3 linked regions of the Danio rerio genome follow. The protein of the gene in region 3 purifies or fractionates together with the protein of the main gene of each other region. This does not show direct contact. Links are inferred from orthologs where the notes say so. Each region holds a gene or a part of one and is shown on either strand. Other genes may lie near its edges.

What was found.
Region 1: the proteins of znf512b (region 3) and chd3 purify together in Homo sapiens (affinity purification with mass spectrometry; 3 studies listed by BioGRID and IntAct, with this or other methods). This does not show direct contact. The link is inferred for Danio rerio from reciprocal best matches to the Homo sapiens genes ZNF512B and CHD3.
Region 2: the proteins of znf512b (region 3) and chd4b purify together in Homo sapiens (affinity purification with mass spectrometry; 4 studies listed by BioGRID and IntAct, with this or other methods). This does not show direct contact. The link is inferred for Danio rerio from reciprocal best matches to the Homo sapiens genes ZNF512B and CHD4.

What each region holds. Positions count from the first base shown.
Region 1 is NC_133182.1:20,749,524-20,753,819, reverse strand, and holds the start of chd3 (chromodomain-helicase-DNA-binding protein 3), read left to right. Parts: upstream 1-1,419; 5' UTR 1,420-1,549; coding exon 1,550-1,715; intron 1,716-4,296.
Region 2 is NC_133191.1:34,963,504-34,967,161, forward strand, and holds part of chd4b (chromodomain-helicase-DNA-binding protein 4), read right to left. Parts: intron 1,843-3,658; coding exon 1,673-1,842; intron 1,149-1,672; coding exon 959-1,148; intron 178-958; coding exon 91-177; intron 1-90. UniProt on the Homo sapiens protein: ATP-dependent chromatin-remodeling factor that binds and distorts nucleosomal DNA. Acts as a component of the histone deacetylase NuRD complex which participates in the remodeling of chromatin.
Region 3 is NC_133198.1:14,985,822-14,989,479, reverse strand, and holds part of znf512b (zinc finger protein 512B), read right to left. Parts: intron 3,569-3,658; coding exon 3,489-3,568; intron 3,252-3,488; coding exon 3,123-3,251; intron 1-3,122. UniProt on the Homo sapiens protein: Involved in transcriptional regulation by repressing gene expression. Associates with the nucleosome remodeling and histone deacetylase (NuRD) complex, which promotes transcriptional repression by histone deacetylation and nucleosome remodeling.

The sequences.
Region 1 (4,296 bases), on a different chromosome or scaffold from region 3:
GCAGCAGTCAAACGCACAAAATGATCAAAGTTATTCTATTTTCTTTAGCTAATATTCATTTAGTGCTGGGCAGCTCTCCGATAACAAGCTTTGTCTTGCCCTCACCTCAAACAGTTAAGCAAAATAATCCCAAAAATCTGGTTGTAAACTAATCTAACACAGGTGCAAATGCTGTAATTAGTTTTTTATTTATTTATTTATTAAAGAATTCTCATTTAATGTAAAAACAATGGATCCAGCTTCATTCAGTTTTGGAAAACTACAATAGACCTATATGATGAATTTAATAAACGTGGGATTTATAGGCATGAAAGGCATGGATATTAGTTAAGAAAACATTGAAAAACTTTTATTACATTTCTATTTCTATACCCATTTTTATCAGAATAAATAATATGTATGCAAATCTCTATTGATTAGAATTTAAAAACAGTAATATAAATGTTATGATTTATAATACTTTATTTTCATTCTATTAATATAATTGATAATAATAACTATTTTAATTTGCTAGCTTTTTATGTAAAGCAGAAGTATCAGACATTAAATGGGGAGCCTTTAAATTTGGCAAAGCCTGTAAACCGCTGGTAAATATATGACACCAAATATAGCCTACATTGGAAAATGAAGAATAAAGTGCAGGTTCAGCGTATTCCACAAAGAAGGCATGGGTGAATCCGCGTGCACAGATAACCGGTGATTTGCGGCATGCCAACTCGTGCCCCTTCACCATGCAATATTTGCTAATAATTTGCGTAATGCAGCAGCCAAACGCGCAGAATGATCAGTTATTCTATTTGCTTTAGCTAATAATTAATTAAGAGCTGGGAAGCTCTCTGATAACTTGCTTTGTTTTGCCCTCACCTCAAACAGTTAATTTTTAAGCAGTGCAACATGATGTAAGTGTGGGCATGGCTGCGGCAGCGCTTTCCCTCTAGCCAGCCTCACTCTCATCAGCCCCATTCCCTCCACACATTTCTATTTGTTTTTTTCAAAGGTGGGGGCTTACAGAATATTAAGGTGGCCATGTTTGTTAGATTCGTGTCGCGCTTGCATTGCTTTGCGCACAGTGCGCGCCGCCGCCACTGCGTGCACTTTCGGAAAAACCAGACAGTTACAGGCAAGAGTCTGCAGCAGTGAGAGAACACGAGCACACGCAATAAAAGCAGCTCACAGACAAGTTGCATTTAGCAAAACGCCTCCCTACTGTAACAAAGTGCTTATTTTTAAGGAGGGAGGGGAGACTAGAGAGAGAGAGAGGGGGGGGGGAGAGAAAGAAATAAAGGAAAAAAGGAGGAGGAGAAGGAGGGGGGCGTTCTGAAATAATATAGTCAGCCATTTTTATGTAAGGGGATTTTTCTTATGGGGGGGGGGGGGTTGTTAAAAAATAAATATAAGGGCGGCCATCTTTGTTTCTCTGCCTTGTAGTGTAAAATATTCCAAAACGCCCCCCACTTTTTGTGTGTCGATTTGAATATTACATAAATATCATAATTTGGAAGGAATACACTTTTAGATCTCGCGGAACGGGGTCACCGACGGGAATATAATGTCCTCTCTTCTCCGTTCTTGTGAGGAAGATGAGGGCACGGCGGTTAATTCCGAGGGAGGAGATTTTGATGAAGAAGAAGAAGACGACGGGGACCTGGACGAGAACGCAAGCGACATAAACTCACCGGCGGCGCCTCGAGAAACTGCAGCAAGAGCCGCGCCAGGTACCGTACTGTCCGCGGCACACACGGGAGCGCGCGTTGGGCACAAAAACACAGCGAAACTAATCAAGAATCCTCCGAAAACTGCGACAGCTGCATCCAGACATCCATTCTGGATGCTCTGAAGCGGTCAGCTATTGTGTATGCTTTATTTATCCGCGTGCGTTGTGGCTAGGAGTTGCATGGAGTTTGGCTAAAGTTGACCGTTCCCCCTCTTTCTGTCCCGTCTGTGTCATTCATCAGGTCTGTCATGGGATGGTGCTTTCTCATCTCCCGCTGTGATCTGACAAAGGATCATTAAGCCGCCACCGTCCCGTGTTTTCTTTGCCCTGAAGGTTCGAACTTAATACTTAGGCAGATAAAGACAGATAAGCCGAAGCACTGATCTAAATGCGGGTGAGAGAGAGGCGTGAGCGTCAGGACTACCGCTTTGAATTGTGACAATGTAAATAAACTTGACCCGACCCACTGGTTCAGCACAGGGCACGGAGATGCTTTCACTTTGTGAAATGACAGTTTGCACGCTGTCATCAGCCCTCAGGCGGTCTCACGGTGTGACTGTGTCGATAAAACGCCTCATTATTGTGTGTATGTCACTATAATGACATCAACAGATAGTGATGAGGGAAAAGTTTCCGCTATTTAGTCGATTACGTGCCAGTAGTTGACAAAGACGTAAACTGATGCTCAGTCATTTTCCTAAAAAATGACTCCTTAAGCAGTTTTACACTTCATCCTAAATATAACTTATTCCAACTTTTATTTAAACAGTGTTTTGTCACATTTGGGGCCTCGGCGTCTCGCGCATTCCCACAGTGCGCGTGAATCAATTAGCACGCACGCGCGTCCTGTCTCGCCCCCGCGACCTTCAGCTGCGGGTCATCCGGTGGTCTGCTCCCCTGGTGCGGGAGTTCAAGACGCGGGGAGCATCAGCTCGGCTCGCGGCCTCTCAATCACCGAGCCCCGAGTGTGTGTTACTGCCGCCCCTGGCTGCTGCAGCGAGCGGGAAAAAAGGCTCTGCCCGCGCGCCCCAGCAACAAAGACGATATCAAATCCATCTCGTTTATCGCAGCGCAATGGCGATAGCTCTGCGTTATCAGACATTGCGTGCTGATATTTCTGCTTCGGTTGCACATTTGTAAAAACAAGCTGTATCAGGGTGAACGATACACAGTCAGACGTGAGTACTTGTTAAGTGAGGAGGCATTTCTTTGTTATCTAACTCTAAAATCTGTTTGGTTATTTTAAACTAATTAGTCATATTAGTATAATAGACTACTGGGTAATATTATGACTAAAGCCTACATCTGGGTTAGGGACTAAAAAGAGTTTCATGCACAGAGCTTTCTGCTTAAAATGAAAAAGAAAACTGGATTTTATGATAATGGTTTTACGTATCTGCTGTAAATACAGTAACATAGTAGCTGTTTTGTTTAATAATACAACAATGATAATAATAATATTAATAATACATTATTATATAAACGTTAAGACTGCCTTTTAAGAATATTTTGATTTTTTGTTGGTGTTCATCATCACAGCAACAGAGGCTTGAAAACTCTTTCAGCTTAGTCCCTTATTTATCAGTGGTTTCCACAGCGGAATGAACCGCCTGCTTGAAAACTTAATAGGCGATTTATTGTCAAGCGTAAACATTTTCACATTTAAGCTGGCCTTAAACAAACTATAAGACTCCTTTTGTTAACATTATTGGAACTAAACAAACGATAACTACCCACTGTAAAGCACTTATACTCAATCTTAGGTGATGTTTATTTAATGTTTATCAACTGACGACACAGTGGCTTAGTAGTTAGCACTGTCACTGATTCGAGCAAGAAGGTCGCTGATTCGAGTCCCGGCTGGGTCAGTTGGCATTTCTGTGTGGAGTTTGCATGCTTGTATTGGCGTGGGTTTCCTCCAGGTTCTCCGGTTTCCCTCACAGTCCAAAGACATGTGATATAGGTGAATTGGATAAACAAAGCTGGCTGTAGTGTATATTAGTGAATGAGTGTGTATGGATGTTTCCCAGTTCTGGGTTGCAGCTGGGAGGGCATCAGCTTTGTAAAACATATACTAGATAAGTTGCCGGTTCATTCCACTGTGGCCACCCCTGATGAATAAATGGACTAAGCTGAACGAAAATGAATGAATGTTTAATAATTTGGAAAAATTTAAATCAATAGTCAAAGCTGTTTTATTAGTTTAATTAAGCTAACGACTAATAAAGTTAGCTGTATTTGTATTAAGCTAACGTTAACAACGAATCTGATTCTCACTGTTGATGTTAGTTAATGCATTAGTTAACGTTTACTAATGAGACTTTAAAAGATTGTAAAATGTACTTTATGAACCAAATTAATCTTGTCTAAATCATTTATGTACCATAAAGCAATACACAAAAGGTATGGTTCTTTTAGTTATTATACCTGTTATAGGTTAAATAATACATACCTGTCTTTTAGTTAAAATAACCGCTTTTTTGCAGCTTATGTCGATATGATGATAGTACTGATGAATAACTTTAGCAGTTCAGAACATTTATACCATCAAATTCCACTTTGCCCCTCTGAAAGATGATGTC
Region 2 (3,658 bases), on a different chromosome or scaffold from region 3:
TTATTGAACCAAGAGGAACATGTCAGTAAAATGTATACATGTACGACAAACTTTTATTAACAAAAATAATGGTTTCAATTTGTTTCTTACCTTCAGATCGTTCATCAAAGTCCTCATCACCCTCTTCTGAAGCCACAGAGTAATCTGATTGGTTATCAGACTGATCATCCTGCCAGTCTGAGAATCCAAATGAGTGGGACAAAATATTTATGAGTATTTGGGTTGACTTGCAGAGGAAATATTTATTTGAAGGGAACAAAACAATTGGGATTCATGCTCACACTCAAAACAGAAAGGTCAAATGTTTAAACAAGACTGGAGTTGATTTCATAAGTTAATATAATATAATATAATATAATATAATATAATATAATATAATATAATATAATATAATATAATATAATATAATATAATATAATATAATATAATATAATATAAACATTTATAATCAATGTGTAACTGCATAATATATCATAAACAATATAATGTAATTATCGGTATAGTATACACTTTAAAACATCTGTCTCTGTCAAATTACTTTAACATTAATTCTAACTTTAACATTATTGTGAAATGTTGAAAGAAAATTCTCAACAAAGACTGCATAATTAAATAAGAATTATTAAAGTGATAAATGATCGACTTTTGAAATGTCAGATAAATTATCACATTACATTTTAGTGCCTAATATACAACATATCTTCCGCATTTAATTTTAAAAGAATATGAGAACATTATTTTAAGAATAAGTCTGCAAACATTTGACTTTTAGTTTATCTATTATCTATTTAAATAATAAACAATAATAAACAGACAAAACACAACACACAAAGAGTAAAGAAATCTTCCAGACCTTGAGATCACACCAATACGTTCGTCTTTATCCACAGCACACGCGCACATACTCACAAACATAAAGGGAAAGAGCAGTAAAAAAGGAAATAAAGTGCGTCTGTACCCCGTCTACTACCTCTGTCCTCCTGTGAACAGTCATTGTAGTTAACAGGTTTGCGTGGCCGTTTGCCTTTGCCCAGATGACGAGCGAGATCTTCCTGCTGCTGCTCGTAATGATGCCGCAGCAGTTTCTCCCAGTAATCAGGATCTACACTCTCCTCCTGCTTAATGATCTCTCTATCCACATCCTCCTCCTGCGAAATACACCATGTTATAACACATGCAGTCAAACAAAAAAATTATTCTGCCACATTTAGTATAGACGGTTATTATTATGAAGGACTAAAGCACACTATAGGTGATGTAAATGAAAAAATATAGTAATTTATGCCATATTATATCCAAATATTCTTCAAAGTAACTTAAAACCAGGATAAAGTGAAGCAGCTTAAGCAGTGAAAAAATATTGAAGATCGGGTTGACAGGGGAGACTACAGGATGTCATTGAGGCTAAAGTAAACCAACAATGTATTGATAATTGTGCAACTATACGCTGTGGTTTTGGTTGATTGTAATCCATTGCATATCATACTTTTCTTTCCATTATCTGACATTATCAAGATAAACTTATTCTGATATTTTATAAGCATTTTATAAGCTAAGGTGAATAAATTGTGATATTGTGAGAAATGTCAAAGATGTCTCAATAAAATTTGGTTCGACTATATATAATACCAAAACAAACCAAGCACAGACAGTGAATCGCACTCAAACTCACCTCCTCATCTTCATCTTTGACCACATATTGGGCCACTTTAAATGAGCTCAAGTATTCATTCATACTCTGCAGTTCTGTGTCCTCCGTTGCGTCTTGGTTTCGATCCAACAAGCGATCAATCGCCTTGTCATCATAGTGAATAACACTGCTGTCTTCTTCTTTATTGTCACCTGGATGGGAGAAATTTATTGAATTTAGAATTGATTTACTTTGTCCCAATCTTGTATTGTGCCCATTTCCATTGATTTCCTATATTTACTTACACAACTCATTTACTTCCCATATTAGTTATTGCTATACATACTTGATGCACTGGCAATGATAAGTATTAAAAACTGATAATGCTTTTCTAACGCAAATCCGTGAGGGAAAGACATAGTGATATGGTAGATAAAAATACAACGGCGCTGATTTAAAGTGAGTGGTAAATAGGTCACAGAGAAGGTGATGCTATTTATTTCAGCCCAAGGCTCAACAATAATAATTTTTGGCTGGCACAGTCAGGCCAATATGTCAGATGTTTACCTTTAACATTTTCCCATCCAGGATCAAATGAATGCCTGCTTCAAAGTACATTCACAAAACTGATTTCATATGCATAGAAAGCACAATAAACAGTTGAATTTTCAACCTGCTTTAAACTACAATGCCAAAATATGGTTGAAATAATGTTCCAGCATCATATTCATGTAAAATAATCCAACATACTTAAGCTGACCTGTACTTTTAAATCATTTAATGAAATGAGAGAACATACATTTTTTTTTATTCTAAATGATAAAACAATTTAAATTGGGTAAAACCTAGTGATAAAAAAATTATAAGGATTTAAAATGGTTATTAAATAATACTCTATTAAAATGGCTATTTAATTATGCTTGACTGTGAGCATAATATTTTGGGACTGCACTGTGATCCTTAAACACTTACTGGATTTTAAGTATTCTAAGTGGATTCAAGTATTTTAATGTCATTTAAAAAGGTTTTAAAATTTGAATCACAGGTAGCTACACTGTATAAACTAATGTTACACTGAACTACATTTTAAAGGGTGTCTTGTGTACTGTATGGTTGTAAAATTCAGATTTACAGGGAAAAATGAAGGCTGTACTATACTTTCCTATGTACTGTCAATACATGTATATGCATGTATATGGTCAAATCCATATTTAGCAGAAACCATTTTAACCTCCTAAAGCATCAGAGTGAAACTGATCTTACTAAAATACACACTCAGGGTGTCATGCTTAGTTTAAACCTCTAAATAACGCTCAACTGAAAGCAGAAGTTCACCTCTACACCATGACAACGTTTATGCATATGAAGTACTGATTAATTCACAAAATAATTCACCCTATTGCTGCGTTCACATCAGATGTGGATGAAGCATCAATCGCGATTTACATACTAAGTAAATTGTTTCGCACAAATTGCTTGAGTGGAAAAATCTGAACTTCTCTTGTAGAGGCATGTTTATGACATAGTGCTTGTCGTTAATGTCCCGAGGGGAAATCCTCTTGCTAACACCGGACAACACTTCATCAAACTGGGCTTGGCACAGTCAGAAGCACCGATGAAAGCCTCCATCTTCCAGGTATAATTTCTGGAGGAGTTGATGTACTCCATTGTTTCCTCTAGGATTTTTTCCAGCTGTGGCGGCAGACTCTGTTGGCCATTTTACACAGATCTACCAATACATGTGTCTTTATTTCATTGACAAATGTCATGGGCGCAGTTTTAAGTTGAGATTGCATTCATGTAATAGCCTACGATTATGTCAATCTCTGCTTGAGCGCCGATTTCTGTTCGTCCACAAAACATCTTGCGCGCCCTCAAATATACGCTGCTCAGGTGCAGATTTTTTTACGCGCCCTCAAATAAACGTGTCATTTAATGTGTTTATGTAGCGAGTATGTCTCCAACATTTATTAGATTTGCTAGGAATATTTATGAATGTCTCAGACAGACTTGCGGAGCGGACCGCGG
Region 3 (3,658 bases):
TACAGTTTAAAAAGAAAAAGTGGAAAAATAATTAATATTTGACATGACTTCGCTGACCTTGGATGACTGCATCCATACATTTCTGCAATGACTCAAATAACTTATTAATAAACTCATCTGGAATGGCAAGGAAAGCATTCTTGCAGGACTCCCAGAGGTCATCAAGATTCTTTGATTTATCTTCAATGCCTCCTCCTTCATCTTACCCCACACATGATCAATGTTAATGTCTGGCGACTAGGCTGGCCAATCCTGGAGCACCTTGACCTTCTTTGCTTTCAGGAACTTTGATGTGGAGGCTGAAGTATTAGAAGAAGCGCTATCCTGCTGAAGAATTAGCCCTCTCCTGTGGTTTGTAATGTAATGAGCAACACAAATGTCTTGATACCTCAGGCTGTTGTTGTTGCCATCCACTCTGCAGATATCTTGCACGCCCCATACTGAATGTAAACCCAAACCATGATTTGTCCTTCACCAAAATTGACTGGTTTCTATTAGAATCTTGGCTCCACTTCCGCAGTATTTGTGATGATTGGGATGCAGCTCAATAGATGATTCATCTGAAAAAAATCTACTTTCTCATACTTTTCCAAATCATCAACTAGAAGTCAAACAAGTTTTGCTCTCACAACTAGGATCGACGGAAAGAGTCTAGTCAGGTAGTGTGTGTGTGTGTGTGTGTGTGTGTGTGTGTGTGTGTGTGTGTGTGTGTGTGTGTGTGTCAGGTAGTGTGTGTGCCGCTAAACGACACTTCCACCAAAAATGAGGTAATGACATTAAGCGAATGTAGAACAAACAAAACATATATTTGCATCAAATTATCTCAAACGCAGCGCCAGCTTATTCAGAAATAACAGTTTGTTGGCAAAAGCCTCTAAACGCCACTAGCCTTTGACAGCAAAAGCTGCTATGTCCTGAGAAACAAGCAGAAAACGCAAATCGAATCATAGCTTTTCACTGTAGCAGCGCACTGATACGTCGGCCTTTATGAAGAGACTGTTTTATTCTAATTCCGATTTACATTTTAAAAGATGGAGTTTGATGAGCCTGTTCGACTGTCAGTGACGGTCAAATGAAAATGAAAATGAAAATGTCCCTCAAATGTCCCTGTGCATCATAAGAAAAAGAATACACAAATGTACAGTCGGAAGTGCAGCATGCATTCATAATGTTTTTTTTGTGCAGTGCTGGTACTTTGAATGAGTTCGATTTACTTGACATTGAGCGGCAACTCAATTTCACGAAAGATCATTTTAAGATACTATTTTTTTTGTGGATAAACAAGAGACAAAAAAAGAGACCAAGACCTTGAGCATAGTGAGAATGAATGAGTGACAGCTTTTAAAATTGTCTGAGAGACATCCCCTTTTTTGCACAGTAGGCCTTGTCTTTTATTTGCTAATGTATATATATATTACTTTAATAAATTGTATTCCTTTTTTCATTATGGACAATGCACAGACATTGATGTTTCACAATGTTTTTACACTACATTATTTGAATCTAAAAAGCTTAGTTTGCAATGTTTAATTTTTTTTACATTACTTTTACATTACAACCTTAATAAATCAAAATCCAAAATATCAGAAATACCAACAGATTGTTAACAATTAATTAATGCTAGTTTTAATATTATTGATTAATGCACTTACTCGACAGATGTCATTCATTCAATTGCCTTATAGTCCCTGGTTTATCAGGGGTTACCACAGCAGAATGAACCGCCACTTACTTGACATATTTATGTATTTTATATTTTAGGTGGTTTGTGTAATGTGTTTTAAGTTTAATAAAATAATTTCTAATTGCATCTTTAGTGATTTTCAACTAATTACAGTCTTGTCCCAATAGGTGGATTTAGAGGTATTTGCAAAAAAGCACAAGTGGATTTAGCTCGTTTTGATGGCAAAAAAAATCTAAAAAGTGAAATTTTGGAAAAAAATGTGTTTTATTTACCAGATAATAACCTTCTCATTATCTATAATAATATAATACAATATATAAAACATCTGAACCTAAACAGAGGAGCCTGATAGAAAAATGTTCATTTACAAGAAAAGTGATGTGATTTATCTATCTATCTATCTATCTATCTATCTATCTATCTATCTATCTATCTATCTATCTATCTATCTATCTATCTATCTATCTATCTATCTATCTATCTATCTATCTATCTATCTATCTATCTATCTATATATATATATATATATATATATATATATATATATATGAAGTTCTTTTTCAGTGTGGAAGAGTAAATAATATTACTGTTAAATGTGTCTTATAATAAAATACTCTAGTTCACTAAATGTATTTGTTCATGTTTTATTACAGGATAAGTTTGAAGTTCATCATAAAACATTTAGATAAATTCAAACAAGGTTAGTAGGTGCACAAATACACACCCAGGTCTGGGGTTAGCACTTTATCGGCTGATACCAGTCCATGTATTGGAATCGGTATCGAAAAGGGTATCGGGACATCTCTAATTTAAGGATCACAGAGATGCCAATAAAGGCTAATCAATTGACATTTTACATCTTTACATATTTGTACAATTCTTCAATCCACTTGGTTTCACCTATTTTTCAGCAAGATGATTTTAAGTACCCAATGTAACATGCGTTCTCTCTCTCTATATATAATCAGTTGTGTAAATATACACTGTGTATTTAGTAAACATATATTAAGATTTTATCATATCATTAAGATTTGACTAAAAATGTAATAGCTTTAATTCCCAGGATTACACTAAACTGATTAAAAGTTGAGATGTTTATAATCTCACAAATAATTTAAAATTTAAATAGGTTAAATGTATTCGTCCAAACTTTATATTCAAGACAAAATAAATGTAGAAATCTATGTATTCATCCTCTTTGACACCTGCCAAAACAACACAAGTATGCCAGTATCAATACATTTCAAAGCTATTGCAGCTAAATGTCCTAGCTGACGCAATCCTAAACCAACCCAAACCTTTAGCACTTCATAACCTTGACTTGACTAGTCGGAAACTGTCCATACAACCCACTGACTATAGTGTAAACCCCCACTGAGTGCATACACGTTTTTTTTTTTTTTTTTTTTTTTGCAGTGTAATGGATATTAGTGTTTACCCCTTGGCATCGCTGATAGTGATATTTAAGTCCGTAAATACTGGGGAATTCCAGCCAGCAGCCTGAGCTTGGACATTTCACCCTGGAACGACTCTTAAACTCCTCTTTCCACTGAACCATCATATGGGCCTTCAACGAGAGAAAAGCAAACAATACACAAGAGGCACTGCAAACTATTAGCAATCAATTGACTAACACTCAGCCCTCTGTGAGATGATCCTCTTCCAAATTCAACAGTTGGAAGTACTTTTGGAAATTCCCCTTACTCATTTCACAAACGGCTTTAAAAAACACTCAAAATCCCAATCTGGCATGTACTTCGCTCCTTTATCAGTGGCCAAAAGATATATTTAATGCTTTACTCACAGGAATATTGCGCAGCTCCTGTACCTCCACTCGAGGACGCCCTTTTTTCTTGCCCTCTGCTTTGTCATTATAGGAGGAACCTGAGAACATATCAACATCAAAAAGCTCGTAAGAGCACTTACATAGTTTTATATTCAAATGTAATGGCTAATGTGATTGAGAGGAGTTGA